Linked DNA regions of Mus musculus: all the other regions are reported to be linked to region 3. Evidence: microRNA targets listed by miRTarBase, many of them from high-throughput screens and not tested one by one. Region 3 holds a microRNA gene; each other region holds the end of a gene's coding sequence.
What was found. The annotated mature microRNA mmu-miR-149-5p reads UCUGGCUCCGUGUCUUCACUCCC and lies in region 3 at 1,733-1,755, opposite strand. An mRNA with a match to its seed (bases 2 to 7 or 8) in the 3' UTR can be bound and repressed. Matches are read on the target gene's strand: a 7mer-m8 pairs with bases 2 to 8, a 7mer-A1 pairs with bases 2 to 7 and ends in A, and an 8mer does both.

Region 1 (4,461 bases), not on the chromosome of region 3:
GAGACGGGGGAGGGGAATTGGAGGGCAGAGAAGGGAGACCAGGCTGAAAGAGGAGCAGAGGGAAGGGACGCTAAGGGGGAAGCACACCAAATCCATTAGTACTATATATATATAGAGATACTCGTATATACTGCGTTTCTTAGCCTAAGAAGAAACTTGTTTGACGGGACGGGCGGCCTTTGCGGTCCGCGATGCTGGTGCTGATGGGGCGCACGGATCTCCCAAGAGGGGCCAAAGCAGGGGTTGGCCCCAGCTGGCTTGCGCAGAGTGGGACGCCCCGAGGGTGGATGGGGTGGGAGGGAGCAGAGGTGGGGCTGGGGTGCCCCTAGGGCTCTCGATTGGGGGACAAAGTTCTCATAACTTTATTGCTCCTTTTTTTTTTCTCTCGTGGGGGGTCCGTTCAGTACGGTCGGGTTGGGGGAAACGGTGGGTCGTCTGAGCCACCCGGCCCCTCTGGGACCCAGAGCGCGGCGTCCGCTCCGCCAGCACGGGGGTGAGAACAAGGCACTAGGTCGGCCGGCCAGCGCGGGGGCGGGTGTGTAAGGCAGTCGACAGGGCTGGTTGCGGGGTAGGGTGGGGGTGTGTGCCGGGCTATGTGCGTGCGTGCGTGCGGGCGCGGGCCTGGGCAAATCGACCTGTCAGCGTGGCTGGACCTGTCCTGGAGCATCGAACCTCCCGGAGGGAGGGGGAATAGTGGTGTTACGTGGGAAGGGGTCGGGGAGGAAACTACCAACTTGCTGAGCGCGCTCCTGATTAATGCTGGTGAGGGTCAAGTTGGCGTCTGGCTCAAAGAAGGGCGCTCGGAGTGGGGAGGGAGGGAAAAGGGACGTTTGTTCGTTGGCATTGACCTCTGCGGGGGAGGGGGCCGGGGACCCCCGCCGCGCCCCAGTGCCCGGAGGGGGAGGGGGCGAGGAAGGGGGGAGCGCCTGGGGAGACCCGCGGCCAGAGCAGCCCAGCCGCGGGGCGCACGCCGCTGTCCCGTTCCGTTAAACTCAACAAAGAAGGGATATGCGTGTTCCTAACAAGTGCAGAGTATTTAATTGATTCATAAACGTATGTATAATAGTTTGTGGGTTTTTAAAAACGTACTTTATAATGTAATAAGCACCAGGGTTTTTATGTTTAATTATCTTAAAAATAATTTTCTCTCGTCCTTTTCCTTTTGATCTTGTGTTGGTTTTTTTTTTTTAATGTCGAGGTGTTTTTAAACGTTTTCTTCAGCCCTCCCACCGAAACCGAACGACGAAACAAATTTAAACCCCAGATTATCCTCGTCAACGCAGGAAAAAAGGCAAAACAAAAAAAAAAAAACAAAAAAAAAACCAACCAACCAAACCAACAAACAAAAACCCAGAAAACTATCAAAAAGGAAAACAAACAAAAAAAAAAACAAAAAAAAGGAAAACACTCAGCTTTCATCCCCGCTAAGGGCAGGGCAGGCCCAGTTCTTTTAGCGTCCCCAGAGCCGCGAGGACATTACAACAAAAATAGAATTTTTTTTCTTAATCTCTTAACATACAAAGATAGGAAAACTCTCTGATGCATTGCACTTGGTTCAATAAAAAAAAAAAGGTTAATTTCCCCTATATTTTTTTGTGGGTTGTTTCCTCTCCTAAACACGTCCCCACATCTGTCGCCCTCATCGTCCCTGCCTGCCTGCCCCTCACACCACCACTTGGGAAAGGAGCACCACCCCCACCCCAGTCCTCCCGAGGGTACCTCTCTCGGGCACCTTGGGCCCCGGCCCAGCTGGCCTGCAGCTTCTGACCTCGCCCGGGGCGTGTGCCCCGCAATCCCACAGCGCCCACAGCCCGACTGTCCTCGACCGACCGAAGAGGCGCACGCGGCCGGGCAGGGACCCTCTTTCGCTAGCTCTTAGCTCTGACCCTGTTTAGCCAACCGAACTGAAAAATCATTGCACTTTGACCGCGCGTCACGCCCGGCCCGCCCGGCCCCCCACCCTGGGGCTCCCTCCCCTCGCACAGGGAGGCCTCCCCCCGCTGGACGTCCACCCCGGCCTGGCCCTCGACGCCGCAGGGGAGGGCTTCGCTCAACTTCCACACAGAACGCAGGGACAGCCGCCTCGCAGCCCCGAGCTCCCTGCTAGCGGCCATTCTCCTGTTCAGGGCCGCAGCCTCACCAACTAGATTCTCAATAAATAAAGCCCACAACCCACCCCCACGTGGTGCAATGTTGGACCGACTTTCGGAAGATCCTGACCTGTGCTTTGTGTTTTCATACCGGAGAGAGGCGCATGGCCTTGAGAACGGGCCTGGGAGGGGAGATGCAGGGAAGGAGGACTAAGGCACAGAAAGACAAGCCAGAGGGGCCCAGTCACCCTGCAGGGGGTCTGGCGTGCTCGCGTTCCCCTCCCTCCCAGGGGGCTTCTCAAGACCCTCTGGACAAGCCTCCGCCATCCCTTACTGGAGGAGGGGGCTGGGAGGAGAACTGCTTCCTGTGGTGTGTTACGAAATTGTTCCCAAGTTGCTCAAACAGAGGAGTTCCCAACTGCAAACAGCGAAAGACCCAAACAATGACTGCCCCACCCCTAAATAAAGAGGAAAGACATTACAGCTAAAATCTAGGGAGAAGTGGCCACGGGGCGTGGTGGGAAGGGAAGGGGACCAGAAAGCTCCAGAACACTCTTTTAAAAGGATGACACCCCCCACCCTCCACAGGAACTCAAAGTCTCGAGAGCAGGACGCCTACCTAGCGCAGGTGGAGGCTGCCTTGTCCTCCTCGCTCAGCTCCGGGGGCCCTTTCTGCTCCACTCTCAGCCGGCCCCTGGAGGGCTGTGTGCAGCAAGGGCAGGGGCAGGGCAGAGGGGCGGAGCAAGGGCACCTGCATGCAGGGCTGGGGTGCGGGGCGACCTGGGGCCGACTCCCTTCACTAGGGGCGTGGCAGAGGGCAGCAGCCCTTGCGTCCTGCGGGCGTGGAAGAAGGTGCCTATGCTGGGCTGGGCGTCCAGTCCAGAGCATTCTGACTTTCCTGTGTGCTGTACAGAGGGTGTCCAGCCCGAGAACTGCCCGGGCGGTTCAAAATGGGGTGGCAGAACACCCTCTATTCTGGACTCAGGCTGAATTCAGTTAGCTCTAAGAAGCATCCCTTACCTACCCGGGAACGCCCTAGCCTGGTCCAGAGCAGCTGGGGCCAGAAGCCTGAGCAGAGGCTCCCAGGAAGGGCAAGAGAGGTTGGGGAGTGGGGGGTGGGGTGAGGGAAAGAGACGAAGTCCGGAGGGGAGCTCGAATGTCTACTATTGTTACGAGCTGTTCCTCTGGGCTCCTTGGGAAGCTTAAGTCCAGCGGAGGGTGGGGTCCCCAGGAACTGCCAGGGTGGCCGGCCAGTGAGCTGGCTGCTCCTTCCTGGGAAGGCCAGGCTGAGTAGGAGGAAGGCAGTCTTGTTGCATCCTTTCTTTCTGTTTGTCCTCTGCTTAGCAGAGTCCGCTTAGCATGCTTCTTTCTGCTTGGCTGCTGGTGTACAGCTCCGCTGAGACCCCTTTCCGAGGACTCCCAGAACTGGGCGGCTTTGGAACGCGGGGGTACCAGGGCTGGAGGAGGGAAGGGCTGAGTGGCTGACGACGTCTAAGTTTTGCTTTTCGGTGGGGCTGGGCTGGGGGATATTTCCATGTCTCAAAATTTCTTCTCCCCCATTTTGAGGAACCTCTTTTTTTTTTTTCCTTTTTTAAATTTAGTTGTTTCTTTGTTGATCTTAATCAGAGGAACCAGGACTGTAATGGGATCAGGAAAAAAAAAAAGCGACCGTGAGAACAGCTGGGGCAGGTCCCAACTCCCATTTCATCCCGCCCCCCCACCCCATGATCTCCAACCTCTACAGTGAGCTCCCGGGAGAGGGGCCAGGGTGCTGAGCATCAGACCCCAATGGAGGAAGCCAAATCATTCTCTCCACCCTCTGAGGGAATCCCCCCCAGACCCCAGTGCAAGAGTCCAGCTGGCCTTCCCGTGGGCACGGTGCCCAGCGGGTGGGACCCCCATGGCTGGCACTGGCACAGACCTGGGATCTGGCCATGTTTGCAATTGTTTAGGTTTTTGTGTGGAACCTGGAAGGTGGGGAGGATGCCAGGCTGGGGCTTTTGTACCCACAGGGGTTGGGGGAGTAGGGTGGGGGTGGCCCAGCTTGAGTTCTTGCTGAGTTTTCTTTCTGTCCCTTTGGATTAAAAGCAGAAATTCACGTCTGTACATCCCAGCCAACGTCCTGTCCCTCAGGCTGAAAGACTTGGGGGCAGGGAACCACATGGCTTCAGCTCTACTAGGGCCAGGACTGGGGGAGGGGGCCAGAGCCCACCCACCCTGACCGGTCGTGGGCCTTTTGGGCACCAGACTGGGGAAGGAGCTTTCTGAAGCACACTACGGTGGATATTGCTTCCCCCAGGGAAGCCAGCAGGGGGCGCTGCCTTCCCGTATATAGGGCCCTGCTGGCAGTGAACACACAGTATACACAGGG
Region 2 (4,461 bases), not on the chromosome of region 3:
CTTGGGCCAGACTTGTCTCTACAGTATTAGGTTATGGTTATTGCTTCTATGACAGAAGGGGTCCGGAAGCCCTGGTGGCTTTGGAGTCTGAGAAACAACTGGATTGCTGTGTGTGGGGGGGACATACACCTGTAGGTATGGACACCCCAGGAGTGGACTGTCCCAGGATGGCACAGCCCATGGAAGCATTTGGAAGCATTCTGGGGCTGTGTTCTATTCTATGGTGTCAGGCACGGGAGGCATGCTAGGGGCGGGAAGGGAACACAACAGGGTCATTTCCCAAGGGCCACGGCATTACAAGAGGGGCTGAAGTGGGTACCAGGCTTTTCCTCATTTTTGGTACAAGTGATCAAGCACCTGTAACTGGTGCACTATTTACAGAGCATCTTAAAATAAATAATTTGGAGAGAATCCTACCTAAATGGCTCTAACATTTGTACATGAATATTGTACAAGATTAAAAATAAATAAGGCAATATAATACATTTTTATCACAAGTAAAAAGAAGGTTGTTTATCACCAAACCCCAAGGTACATTATGGCTGCACGTGTGGTTCCTGACCTCACAGGAAGTAGGCGGGTTTGGAATTGCTGATGATGGAGATGTCGCCCCTGAAGAAGAGACCCAGCCAAGGCTCCTGTGTGGTCTGCTTCAGAACAGTCCTGTGCCCAGAGAAGGCAGTGTCATCCTAAAGGTTGCTTTCTCTCACTCTGACCACACCTTGGGTGGCTCTGCCCATGCACCCATGTGGCCTCGGTTTGACACACGCATGCGTGATTGCAGTGTTATCGACCTAGGCTGGCTCTGCTCAGCGTCATATAGGTCAGATCCAGGGGCCACTGGCTGGCCTCCTCCCTCATGGCTCTGATGGTCTGCCTGCTGTATACTCAGGCTTTGGCCAGTTTCAGCTCCTTGTGGTTATGGGCGTGCGTGACATCCTGGCTTCTTTGCTGGCTGGAGCTGTGCTGTCCTCCTAAGTCTCTTCAATGTATTTCATGTCCTCATCTTCAGGTCAGCAACAGAGACTCAGTCCTGGGCATCTTTCTGTCCACTTCTGAGGGGCCCTGTGTCCACACTAAACCCATTGGTGTAGACTTTCTCAATCCTTTCTCAATCCTTCAGGCCTACCTACCCTAAGTCCCCTTGTCAAGGTCCTCCACTGTGGCAAAGGACACACAGGACCTGGGGCTGTCATGTGGGCATCTTTGAGAACCACTCTTCTGTCCCTCATCTGATCAGCCAGAGAGGCACTAGTTCTGGGTGCCTAGAAGCCACTCTGAGGAACTCCAGGCTGTGTGAGAGGTTCTCTACCCTCCTCAGTGGCCTGGAAGGCCAGGGACAGTGCCACAGCCCTCAGCCAAAGTCACCATATACTCACTTGCTCTGGGTGCTCCTGGCTGAGCTGACTGCAAGACAGACAGACGAGGTGAGAAATTCCTAGTGCAAAAGAGCCCCATGAGGAAAAGCCATTTGTCCCAAGGATAGGAACACCTGGGGACGGGCAGGAGGCAGGAGCCACAAAGAAAGAGTGCTCGCATGCCTACCTAGGTTCTGGCTCAGAGGAATCTGCCCCTTCTCAGAGCGCCCCAACAACCTGAATCTTTCTTATAAGTGCAATCTTAAGATGGTCTTCAGGGCCATGGGAGAAACCAAAAGCCTGTCCTGCTGCCCTCAACTCTCTGGGAGCCAGCATTCTCCCCCAACACTGTTACAACAAAATACCACGCCTCAGGAACCAGACATGACCACCGGAGGACGATGAAGCTACCTGCTCTCCAACCCTGAAGGCTGCAGTGGAGTGCTGAAGTCAGTCTGGCCCTGGCTCTGGGTTCTAGCCACAGTGGGCTGACAGAAAGGCAGCCGACAATGCCCAGGCCGTGCTACCTGATATCATCAGAAAGGCAACAAAGCAGGGTGGGCATGGGTCAGAGTTCCTCTGCAGAAGGTGCTAGATGATACCCTTACCACCACCCACAAGCTCCATCCCTGGCCACAGAGAATGTGCAATCTTCACAGCTGCCCCACCCGGCCCTAGGGCACCTGAGGTGCAGCCTCAAAGACTTGGAGACTTGGCATGCAGCCTCCAGCTCTCCCTTGCTGAAAGTTTTCTTCCTACCCACAGGTAACCTGAGTCTAGACTCAGCTGAGTGTCCCAGGAACGGGCGCTGGCTGACCTGGAAAATTACCCAGGCACCAACAAAGCCACACACTTGAACCAGAGCTGAATCCAGAACACCACATATGCACCCTGCCGGGGAAAACTAGGCTTTGCTCTGCCCTATTCTAAGAAGATAGGACCCTTGGAAGGGGGCAAGCTCTTGGGGAGCCGTGAGGAAATGGGCCTCCACAGACAAGATCAGGCAGGGCTTATGCCCACCTGCCCTGCTTCAAGCTGCCTCCCTTCCTGTATTGAAACTGAGTATCTTCAAAAGCCAGGCTTCATCCCGCTATTTCCAGCCAGTTGCTTCCTACCAACTCCTCCAGAATCCTGTACCCTAACGGGATTTCCTCACAGTTGCAGTTACTGGGACACACAGGTGGGAGGTCCCAGGTGTCAGTCAACAGGGCCACTCTTTCCCATCACCCTGGAGCAGGGACACCACACCTAGACTCAGGAATGCACACTGTGCCGACTCTGAAACCACCAAGAGGAGAGCTGGTTAGGCCAAGGAGAGGATGTCTTCCAGCAAGGAGAGCACTCGTGGGTATAGTGGGTCAATCGCTCTTAGCATAAACGAAGGCTTGATTCTTGTTAGACTTACAGCGTCCAAGACACCACAGAGAAGACAGCACACACCCCTCCTCTCTGAATGTGCAGCCATGGCACAGGAAGAGGAGGGCCCACTGTCGCAGCAGTCAGAAGCCAGCAGCCAGGAGGGGTTGGAAGAGAATGTACGGGCCAGGAGATCAGAAGTGGGGCTGTAGGGCCTCCCGAGAATTCCAGAAGACCTGCCTCTGGCTGTTAGCAAGAGCCTACTCTTGGGGAAAGCCAGCAACCCCGCTCTTCATGCAGTAAGAGGTGTCTTTTCAATTCTTCCCATACTGCCCTGACCAAGACCTGACCAGCTCTTTGCTGTGCCCATGGTATGAACAGCTCAACTGTCATGGCCCTGCCCAGCGGGGCCAACTTCCCAGTCTGGCACTCATACTTGAAACTGCTACCCAGGCTTGGAGTTACCCATAAGCCAGGACCTACCAGGGCTAGAGCCATCCATAAGCCAGGGCTTACCAGGGCTGGAGCCACCCATAAGCCAGGACCTACCAGGGCTAGAGCCACCCATAAGCCAGGGCTTACCAGGGCTGGAGCCACCCATAAGCCAGTTGACTTGGGGCTCAGTCATGGTGGGCTCCTCTGCCAGCTTGACCTCCATAGCTTTTGCTGTGACCATGGAAGATACTCCCAAGGTCCCGCCACCTATGGCAACACTAGCCAGGCATAACCAGGTCATTAGGAAGAGACAGAGCTCAGTGTGCCCCAAGGGGTGGCTTGGGCACATTTCCCATTGGCCTCAGGCCACACTCAGACAATGCTTCTCCTCCAGCCCAGCCACTTGGCTCCTCTGTCTGGTCCTGGCTAGAGCCATGGTGGCTTGTGACACCCTGGAGCATTCTTGCCTTGCATGCATCTCCAGTGGCCCATGGGCTCCACTAGGCTTCCTTCCCTGCTGCTGTGGATGACAGGTACTGGCTAGTGGGGGCTGGAGGGAGCCCTGGTCTGACTGGGGGTCCAGCCGCGGGACACAGTGGGGGCCGTCTGGCCTGGCCTCCGCCTCTCCCATAAGGACACATCCTTCGTTCCAAGCGAAAGGTCCTGCCGTGGGAACTGTTTCCATCAGTCCTGCCTTCTAGAAAGTACGTTAGCATCTCTCCCTTGCCCTTCACGCTGACTTTGCCTCTGCACACAAACTGGTATGAGCACCTCTTCAGCAGCCGGTGGACTTCCTCAGTCACCTACCAGGGGAAAGAAGTCAGCATTACTCTTAGTCATGGATAATGAGGGGGTCTTCTGGAGGGTAGGAGCTCCCCAGTGACCTTTGACCCTGCACCTCACTTTCCACCACAGCTGCCTAATCCTGGTGATATTTGGACAACGCTACTTCATATATGGGCAAGTGGGGACAGCTGGGGCTAGAGACCCAGCACAGCTTGGGTGAGCCATTGTGACTGCTTAGTGCACCCAGTTAGGGGCTGTGTGGGACTAGCCCCAATGTTAAAGGTAGATGGACAGGCTCTCTGGATCAGGGATATAGATACCTCAGCAAGGTAGTCTGGTGCTGGGAATGGCACCCTTAGTTTCTGGGAATGGAGCACAGCTACTGAATAGAGCCTTTGGTAGGAGGTCATAAGCATACAGAAGCCAAAAAAGCTAGAAGAAAATGGGCATCTCTTAGCTCCTCTTTTCTCAAGCTTCAGATCAGTAAGTATACTGGCTCCACGAATCTCTGCCTCCCCACACCAGA
Region 3 (4,461 bases):
GTAGGTGCCAGGGCTGGTACCTGGGCTTTATCCTTGCTGACGGGTTGATGGGAAAGGTGGGATGTGAAGAACTCCAGGATGTGATACTGCAGGCTGCCATCAGAGGTGGGGGACTGAGCCAGAGGGGAGTGGACATCTTGTCAAGAAGCATGTGGGGGCAGGAACCTGTGACCTCAGGATGAGGCCATTATGTGTTAGGCCCCATTTCTATGAACCCCCCTCCCCTGAAGCCAACTGGGAGTGGAGATCTCTGACTAAGGAGAGATTCTGAGGTTGCATTCACCCTTAAGAGCTTGTTACATGATCACATCCTTGTCTTTAGCACTTAGTAAGCACAAGCATTTATGTGTGCTGGATGGTGTGTGTGTGTGTGTGTGTGTGTGTGTGTGTGTGTGTGTGCATATTGCAGAGTGGAACTGTGTACAGCCTCTGTGATTTTGACCTGACATGGAAGGTATATATCCCCAGATGCCACCCCTCCATCCCTAGGTAGGGCAACCTTCAGATCTGCTCTTCCAGGTCTCAGGTTGAGGGCCTGGCCTAGCCCTTCTCCTGCTTACTAAGGCATGGGAGCTGTGCTTCATCCCAGAACCCTGGGGACTTTTGGCCTCACAGGCTGAGTCCCACCTGGTTTCAGGGTCCCCAAAGGTCCACAGAGCAGGGCAGTGGCTGACAGCTGGTAGAAGAACAGAAGGAATTGTATTCTGATTCAAGGGTGCTTGGGGGAGTCAAGAGAAAAGGGAGTCAGAGATGGGAGGTGCACACGGAATGCCCCTCCCACCACTCCCCTACCTGGTACCCTCTGCTCCTACCACACTGCTTCCTCCTGCCCAGGGCACCTGCCTTTCACAGGGACTGCAGGTCCTGGGAAGCAACATGTTATTAAGCACCCAACCTCAAGAAAGGGCTGGGTTGGTGCCCAGACAGCTGGGAGCTGCAAGCCTAGGTCCTGCCACTTGATCTGCATCCATTGATTGATTCCCTTCCTTCTAGAGTAGGGAGGGCTAAGCAGAGATTATCCACCCGCAAGCAGGCTACAGGCACAACAAGGTACAGGGCCCAGCAGGGCCTTCTATTTGCTCTGCTCCGGGCCATGGTCTGCTGGGCTGAGGTGATATGCCACATCTCTCTCTTTGAGTGGTGGGGTTTAAGGGTTTTTCTGTTAGAGGAGGAATCATGGGGGGCACTGTAGAGGATGACCCATCTCTGACTTCAGCAGTGAGTGGGGAAACAGCTATGGGGATGGAGGCTGCAGGTATCAGGATGGGGCCATCCTGGGCTCAGCTGGGACAGAGGCACTCTGTGTGTGTAGGCCAAAGGTTTTAGGTGGAAATATTGAGGACCAGGCTGCACAACAGAGCACTGGCAAGAGAGAGGTGGGCACAGCCTTACTGGCCCCTCCCATGGTTTCTGCTCCTCTGACATCCTTCTCCATCTTAGTGGTCCCAATTGCCACCCCTCACCACATAGACAGAAGAACGAAGCTGAAACAGGAAGAAGTTAATTAAGGACACACACTCAGAAACAGAAACTCGCCCCACTCCACGGCAGGTTCTGGATAAATGGGACCCATGAGACTTTTGGCCAGCTACTATGAGCATACCCCATCCAATGGCCTCCCCTGCAGCCCCCTGGCTCTGCCTGGCCACCTCACCCAGCCAGCCCGGTGACCTGCGCTGTTCCAGTTGCCCCAGCACCGCCCCCGTCCCTCCCTCCCTCCTCGGACAAACACGGGAGTGAAGACACGGAGCCAGAGCCTGGGCACTGGCCTGAGGGCCCCGGGCAGGCTGGGTCAGGCTGCCCAGAAGCCCATGCATTGGCAGACCTGCTTGCTGAGGGTCAAAGATAGAGGAGCTGAGACCCAGCCCAACTGGAACCATAGGTGCTCAACATCAGAACAGCTAAGGCAGGCTCTGCAAAGCTCTCTACACTTCCAGGAAAGCACTGGAGTACATACCCATCGTAGGAACGTCTCTCCGTTCTACCCTACCAGCAGCTTCCTCCTTGCCAGCCCTGAAGGTGGGTGGGAGTGGAGCGGCAGTATTGTTCCCCACTGACCCCGCCCATCTCTCTCAGAGTTGGTTTCATTTTTCCAGATCTTTCCCTCCTGGGTTTTTGGGGGGCACTACCCTCCCCTGGCACTCACAGGTTTTATTTGGGGAAGGGGGTTGTTTGTTAATGGCAGGTTTTCCCCACTTTAGTCCCTTTTCTAAGCCTTGTCCCCAACCCCAAAGCCTCTCAAATTCCAAGACCCCTGCTTCTTGTGACACTTAGCATGGCACCCCATTGCAGCAAACCCATGGGCAGCAACTGCTCATTTACCTCCTCCCAAATCTGGCTGCTTGCACCCCACCCCCGGCCCCCCACTATTCTCCAGAGCAGACAGCAGCTTGTGGCTTCCTACCTTTCAGGGTCACACCCTCCTGCCACCTGCTGACAGCTCCAGCTCCTGCTCCTCCCTCACAGAGGCAGCATCCCTCTTGGTCATCATCCACAGTCACCCCAGGACTTTAGCAGAGTCCAGCATCCTGATGCTACCCACAGACATCTCTGACCTGACCTCCCCTGACACTTCAGGGACCCAATGCCTTGAAACCCTCCACCTTCTGAAGATAATGCAGAGTCATGCTACCCCGCCTCTGGTCCATTCTTCTAGAAGCTTCCTGTGCTCACGGGGGAGATGCAGAGTGGAAAGCCCACTTCCCTCACGGCCCCTAAAACACTCCAGCTGGCACGGCTTGGGGGAGTGTAGGGGCATTCGGAGTATAATCTCTCAGCACCGCAGATAAGGGAGAGGCACAGGCTACACTCCCCTCCCCAGCTGCTGGCTCCTAGAGCAGGCCTTTCTGTTGACTGGTAGGTTAGAAGTAAACCAGCCCTCTGTGCTCCTGGGTTTTCCAGCCCCAGAGGCTGAGAGTCTCCAGGACGTGACAGCCTGGAGCAAATGGCCCAGCTTTCTGGGGGACTACTCACTGCCCAGGCTCCAGGGGCATTTTCCCATTGCTTGCTCCTGTTCCCCAACAAACCTGTCTAGTCCCCGGGGGTCACACCCGAAGGAAGACATTTCAACTCCATCTCTGAAATTGGAAAAGCATCAAGCACAATCCCCTCCCCGCCCCCACCTCACTCCCAATACTTTTCCACCCTCCTGGATGCCTTCATGATTCCCGAGCCCCTGCCTCCGGTTCACCCAAATGGCAACATCACCAAGAAGAACCTCCATCACGAACAGGGACCCCCTAACTGGGGGGCATCGGCTGCTGGCACTTCTATGGACTCGATGGGAGGGGTCATCTCCGGGCAGGCAAGGGCTCCTGCCAGCTGCCTCTCCAGCATCAGGCCAGGCCCTGGGCGAACAAAGCCTGGGCGACACCTGCAGCTCCGACCGACCGCTGCCTCCTCTGCAACGGGGATGGTTCTGTACAGCTGGAGCCGGTAAGATAAGCCGGAGCTGCAGATGCAGGCGCCTGCTCTGGCGCCGCAGTGAGGAGGGGGCGCTGGTGCAGTGGGCGCGGCTGGTGCGGAGAGCTGAGTGCTGCGGCAGGCAGAGGGGGGCATTTGGAGGGGGGCTGCGGAAAGCGGGAGATGGAGGGAGAGGAGAGAGGGCGATGTGATTGGCGGGGAAGGGGCTTGCCGCAGTGGGCGCGGCGGCAGAAAAAGGAGGGAGAAAAGCGAGCGCCATGGCTGTGGCGGCGGGGGCGGGGTGAAAGGGGGGATGGGTTCAGTAGAGGAAGGGGGACTTACTGCGGAAAGGGGGCTGCGGCAGCCTGAGGGGTGCAGGGGGAGGGATGGGGTAGAGAGGAATATCTAGGATGGTGCAGCACAACTTTAGGGAGATGGGGATGGGATGGAGGTGGGAGCTGAGAGACATGAGTGGACATCAGGGCTGATGACCAAGCTCTTGATGGGAAGGGGATGAGACAGAGATAGGCTGTAGTGGGGGTACAGCTGCGAGAGAATGGAACTGAAGATGAGAGGTGAATGCATGGAGGAGGGGGGATGCAGACAGGAATGGTGATAGAGATGGTGCCTAGCAGACGTAGCCTGGTAGCTTAGCGGACACCCTCCTGGCCTTAGAACCCCCTTCTCCATGGCCGCTCCAATAGTGTCCCCAGCTGTGGATGCACTCCGGATAGCAAGGGCGATTCCAGCGCCAGTGAAGTGGTCTGGCAATTGCAGAGCAGCAGAACTCAGCAGGAAAGGCCAAGATGAGGCTAGGGGTCTCGGCGTGGTGTGGTGGATCCCACAACCTAGGGCAGCAGGGCAGTGGCAGTCTCACTGATGCACAAGGCTGAAGGCAGCTTCCTGGGACGCACCTCCTCCCGCAACCTTCACTGGCACATTCAGCACCGCCCCCCCCCACCCCCCGTGTCCCTGGAAACAGTAGGCAGCTGCGGACCCCCCCCCCCCCCCACCGTGCTGGCATTTCAAAGGACTTGTGGATCAAATCTCTGCCTCTGG
Region 4 (4,461 bases), not on the chromosome of region 3:
AAACGGAAGTTTGATGAGCATGAAGATGGGCTGGAAGGCAAAATCGTGTCCCCCTCCGACGGTCCATCCAGGGTGTCTTACACCTTACAGCGCCAGACTATCTTCAACATTTCCCTTATGAAACTGTATAACCACAGGCCTCTGACAGAGCCCAGCTTGCAGAAGACTGTCTTAATTAACAACATGTTGAGGCGGATCCAGGAGGAACTCAAGCAGGAAGGCAGCCTGAGGCCTGCATTCACCCCCTCTTCCCAGCCGAGCAACTCACTGAGCGACAGCTACCAGGAGGCCCCGCCTCCTGCTCCTCACCCCTGTGACCTCGGAAGCACTACACCCTTGGAGGCCTGCCTCACCCCTGCCTCCCTGCTCGAGGACGACAACGATGACACTTTTTGCACTTTGCAGGCTGTGCACCCTGCAGCTCCCACTAGACTCTCTTCTGCAGCCCTCCCAGCAGAGAAGGACAGCTTCTCCTCCGCCTTGGATGAGATCGAGGAGCTCTGTCCCACATCTACCTCCACAGAGGCTGCCCACACAGCAGCCCCTGAGGGCCCGAAAGGAACCTCCAGTGAGTCCAGTGTCCAGAAACCTGAGGGGCCCGAGGAAGGCCGCACAGATGACTCACGATTCATGGACTCTCTGCCTGGGAATTTTGAAATAACAACGTCCACGGGTTTCCTGACAGACTTGACCCTGGATGACATCTTGTTTGCTGACATTGATACATCCATGTACGATTTTGACCCCTGCACATCTGCATCGGGGACAGCCTCAAAGATGGCCCCTGTGTCAGCTGATGACCTCCTCAAGACCCTGGCTCCTTACAGCAATCAGCCTGTTGCCCCAAGTCAGCCTTTCAAAATGGATCTCACGGAGCTGGACCACATCATGGAGGTGCTTGTTGGCTCCTGAGACCTGGGCCCACGTGACTGCGCCCAGCCAGGCTCTGCACCCTTGCAGCCCCGACAGTTTCTCCGCACTGTGCATGGACCCTTGCTTGCCTTTTTCAGAGAAAAAGAAAATTTTACAAAAGGATCACACTAGTATTTTCTTCAAGCAGAGTTGGAGTGCCTTCATTCGAGTATGCCCACTTGTAACACACTCTTCTGAGTGGGTTCCTCAGAGCCCTGCTGCCCTGGCGTAGGAGAGAAGACATTTGAAGACTGTGTTGCTAATGTTGAAAGGTGAACAGGAACAGTTCAAGTGAAGCACAAGGATTAAGTTGGAAAAGCTGTAAATTGCATGTGCATATTTGTCTATTTTTTCTATAAGTTTTATTGCAAGAGGTAAAAAAAAAAAAGAATATATATCTATATTATTTGGATAATCTCAGTACCTTTTCTGGCGTTTTGCCCTGTGTAAGTTGACTTGGCAATTCAGCCTTTTTAGAGGCATTAACTACTCGTAAGTGTTGCATTTACATGGCTGTTTAGAAAACTGCTGCCCAAATTTATTTTATATTTTTGTACAGATTCTGCAGTTTATGATATTGTTTTTCTAAACACAAATGCTGTTTATACCTATGAAATAGCTATTTTGATAGGATTTGCTCACATAGTTCCTGCAAACATGAGATGTACAAGTTGCACTTGTACTTTTATAGGACTTGTAATGTTTTATATGTGTGTGGTGCAAGAGAGAACTGGATCACGTCAGTCTGCAGTTGATGTCCCCACTGCAAATACACACAGCGCTTTCATAAAGGGCCAGGTGATCTGACACCCAAATTTCACAAGCACCAGCCCCTGGCACGGTCACCCGCCAGCACTGTGACTTCCAAAGCCAGAGCCCTGTCTGCTCATCAAACATGCATTAAGCAGTTGGCGGGGAGATGGCTGTGTTTCTTGGGGTAGGGAGGGCGGAGTTGATGTGGCAGGCTCCTTAGCTCCCTCTTTTGAACAGAGGCTGCATCATCTTATTTAAGAGTGGACTCAGCAGGGTGTGGTGGCACACCCCTGTAATTCCAGCATTTGGGAGGCAGGGGCAGGCAGATTTTTGTGAGTTCCAGTCCAGCCAGAACTATACAGTGAGAAAACCCTGTCTCAAGGTGGGGGTGGGGAGGGAGGGGGAACAGGGGGATAAAAAACAAAACAAAACTGTATTTATGCCAAGTTGCTATTTTAATTGTTTTTATTTTAAATTTTTGAAATGAAAACCCCAGTCTTTGTCTTTTGGCATAGCTTTTATGACGAGACCACAATTTTACACAACAAAATTTTACAACAAGCAACTGACCTTTTGCTGGAGGTGAGCCCCACTTCAGTACTTAGTTCCCCAGAAGGCATCCATCGTGTTGCTGAGCTGCCTCTCCCATGTCCTTTCCCTGGAGCTTTTGTTCCCTCTGTTGCTAAGAGCTGCAAATGGCATCTTTCTGATCAGCACAGTGAGCTAGCTCTGCGCACCTCCGCCAGCCGGGACGCGCTCGCTCGCTCTCCTGACATCTGTGACTAGAGCCGCAGTCCACCGCCTTATGTCATGGTGTCCAATCTGGTTGCTTTCCTTAATTAACTGCTAATTTAACTACACTTTACAAAGCTGTTATTCCCAAATACATAGAGAGGAATTTCTATGCACGTCTCTGGCCTTCCCCTACCCCCATGTGCTAGCCCCTCCAGCGGCTCTTTCTTTAGTGATCCCCCCAACACGTGCACTCATGAGATGCAGTCGTTTGTTTTAGTGTATCAGGCCTGTTGCTGAAACCGCCTTTCTGTTTCATGGCTCGCTCTTGCAGTGTGGTATTTGAGCTGTTGAGTGCAGGTTACAACCTATATGGCTTCTTTAGAAATAACTTTTATATTTATTTAAAAAAACTTAAATTATGGGATTTTGTTTTTGTTTTTGGTTGTCTTTGTTGGTCATTTGTCAATATACAGTCACCAACCAACTCTGCTCACTTCTTGCCATGGATAAAATGGGCCTTTCTGGCCAATTAAAAAGATAAATTTTATAAATGGCACTTTAAAACAAGCCATAAATAGATTTATTTTTATAATGCACATGGCAAGCAAATGCATTTGTGATGAAGGAACTGCTCATCCAAGCAGAAGATTTGTGGATGGTGCGATTAATATCTTTTTACCTTTTCTTCACTGGAATGTGTCTGACAGGCTGACTGTCAGCTCTGGAGCAGCGGGAGGCTGATCCAGCTGTGCTCCTACAGGCACCTCCAGCCTTTCACCAGCCCCTTCACGCGTGTGTCTCCTTTCTTGTAGGGCAGGGACCACACGTAGGGGAGGTTGTCATGCACACTTGCAAGTGTCTCTGTGCCTGTCCATCTTAAGAACTTGTCTGTCTTGTAGAGAGCAGGTCTGCCCGTACTCTGTGTGTTTTAGAACTGGAGGATCCTGTGAACTGGCCACATGCCACACACATCTGCATACATGTGCATATACAGTAGTGTTGATGATTCCCAGCAAAAATGGCACAAAGCAGTTGATTGCCATTGTCAAAAACTGATTTACAGTAACTTAGAACAACTGTACTTTTGTTGGATTAGCAAATCATGTGTTTAAACAATCCCATATGTTGGGCAACAGTTCAAATAAGCACAGAGAAGCATTGCCCAAACTTGGTTCTCAAACTCTAGTGCATTTGTAAGGCTGGGCTTCAAAATCAAAACACCCACCCCCAACACCGGCAGGCAGAGTGCTAATTCCTGAAACATCCATGGGAAGCCAATGGCCCTGTTTTCAGGAAGAGCAAGCCCACCAAGAGTTAAGACTGTCTTTGTGTCCTATTTATACTAAGCCATGTCCCAACAGGGAAGAGTTTGGAACCAGAGTGAGAGCTCCCAGTCCCAGTTTGAGTGGGGGAATGTGCTTCTAGACGCTTCCTGGCAGTAGTGGCTCACCTTCACAAAGACAGTCTTGTGGCATCCGAGCCAGGCAGACAGCCTGGGGTGCCTGGGCCTGACAAGCTTGTTGACAATGACGTGCAATGACGTGACAAGGTGAGAGCAGAATCCTGAGAGACTTAAAGGGATGGTTTTCCCCATAAGTTATTTATTCTTTTTTTTTTTCTGTGTAAATATATTTATTTTATTGTGGCACTCTAATAACATCCTGGTGGTATGGTGCAGAATGTATGGTAGGAATGTATTTCTTGTAGGGATGTAGATCTGTGTGTATTAAAAGGGGGAGCCAAGCCAGCCCCCACCTGTCTCTTCATCAGATACAGTCCACATTCATTTTTAACTCTCATCTCCAATATGGGTCTATTTAAAATATGCAAAAAGGTATGGATGAGGAATGTTTTAATACCTCCAAATTTTTAAAAAAATCAAGCATAAAAGAGTTGATAATTTTTTAAAGTTTTCTTAGTAGCACTTTCTCTTGATGACAGAAGGGCAACACATAGGCACCCACCTTCATACCAAAGGGTGAGAAATGGCCACAGCCTCCTACACCACTCCAGTGTCTTTAGCAATTGAGCTTTCTATCGCCATAGCCCCAACCATCCTGA

Region 1: miRTarBase lists Nfix as a target of mmu-miR-149-5p. Seed matches in the 3' UTR shown: 8mer at 781-788.
Region 2: miRTarBase lists Adcy1 as a target of mmu-miR-149-5p. Seed matches in the 3' UTR shown: 7mer-A1 at 2,956-2,962, 7mer-m8 at 1,820-1,826, 8mer at 1,552-1,559 and 7mer-m8 at 800-806.
Region 4: miRTarBase lists Sertad2 as a target of mmu-miR-149-5p. Seed matches in the 3' UTR shown: 7mer-A1 at 1,781-1,787, 7mer-A1 at 2,012-2,018 and 7mer-m8 at 3,878-3,884.

Annotation. Positions count from the first base shown.
Region 1 is chr8:84,704,951-84,709,411 of GRCm38, forward strand. It overlaps Nfix (nuclear factor I/X), which reads right to left. Exons shown (of 11, transcript NM_001371053.1): 11 at 1-3,727. The coding sequence ends at 3,713. Among named protein-coding and RNA genes, the nearest start is that of Lyl1, 5.7 kb to the left of the region's middle.
Region 2 is chr11:7,168,904-7,173,364 of GRCm38, reverse strand. Adcy1 (adenylate cyclase 1) reads right to left here. Exons shown (of 20, transcript NM_009622.2): 20 at 1-3,952. The coding sequence ends at 3,650. Among named protein-coding and RNA genes, the nearest start is that of Ccdc201, 17 kb to the left of the region's middle.
Region 3 is chr1:92,847,675-92,852,135 of GRCm38, reverse strand. Mir149 (microRNA 149) reads right to left here and starts at 1,758; the gene lies at 1,693-1,758. The region is part of intron 1 of Gpc1 (glypican 1); the gene reads right to left. Gm29480 (predicted gene 29480) reads left to right here and starts at 3,339. Exons shown (of 4, transcript NR_166170.1): 1 at 3,339-3,435.
Region 4 is chr11:20,647,824-20,652,284 of GRCm38, forward strand. It overlaps Sertad2 (SERTA domain containing 2), which reads left to right. Exons shown (of 2, transcript NM_001038625.1): 2 at 1-4,461. The coding sequence ends at 912. Among named protein-coding and RNA genes, the nearest start is that of Sertad2, 18 kb to the left of the region's middle.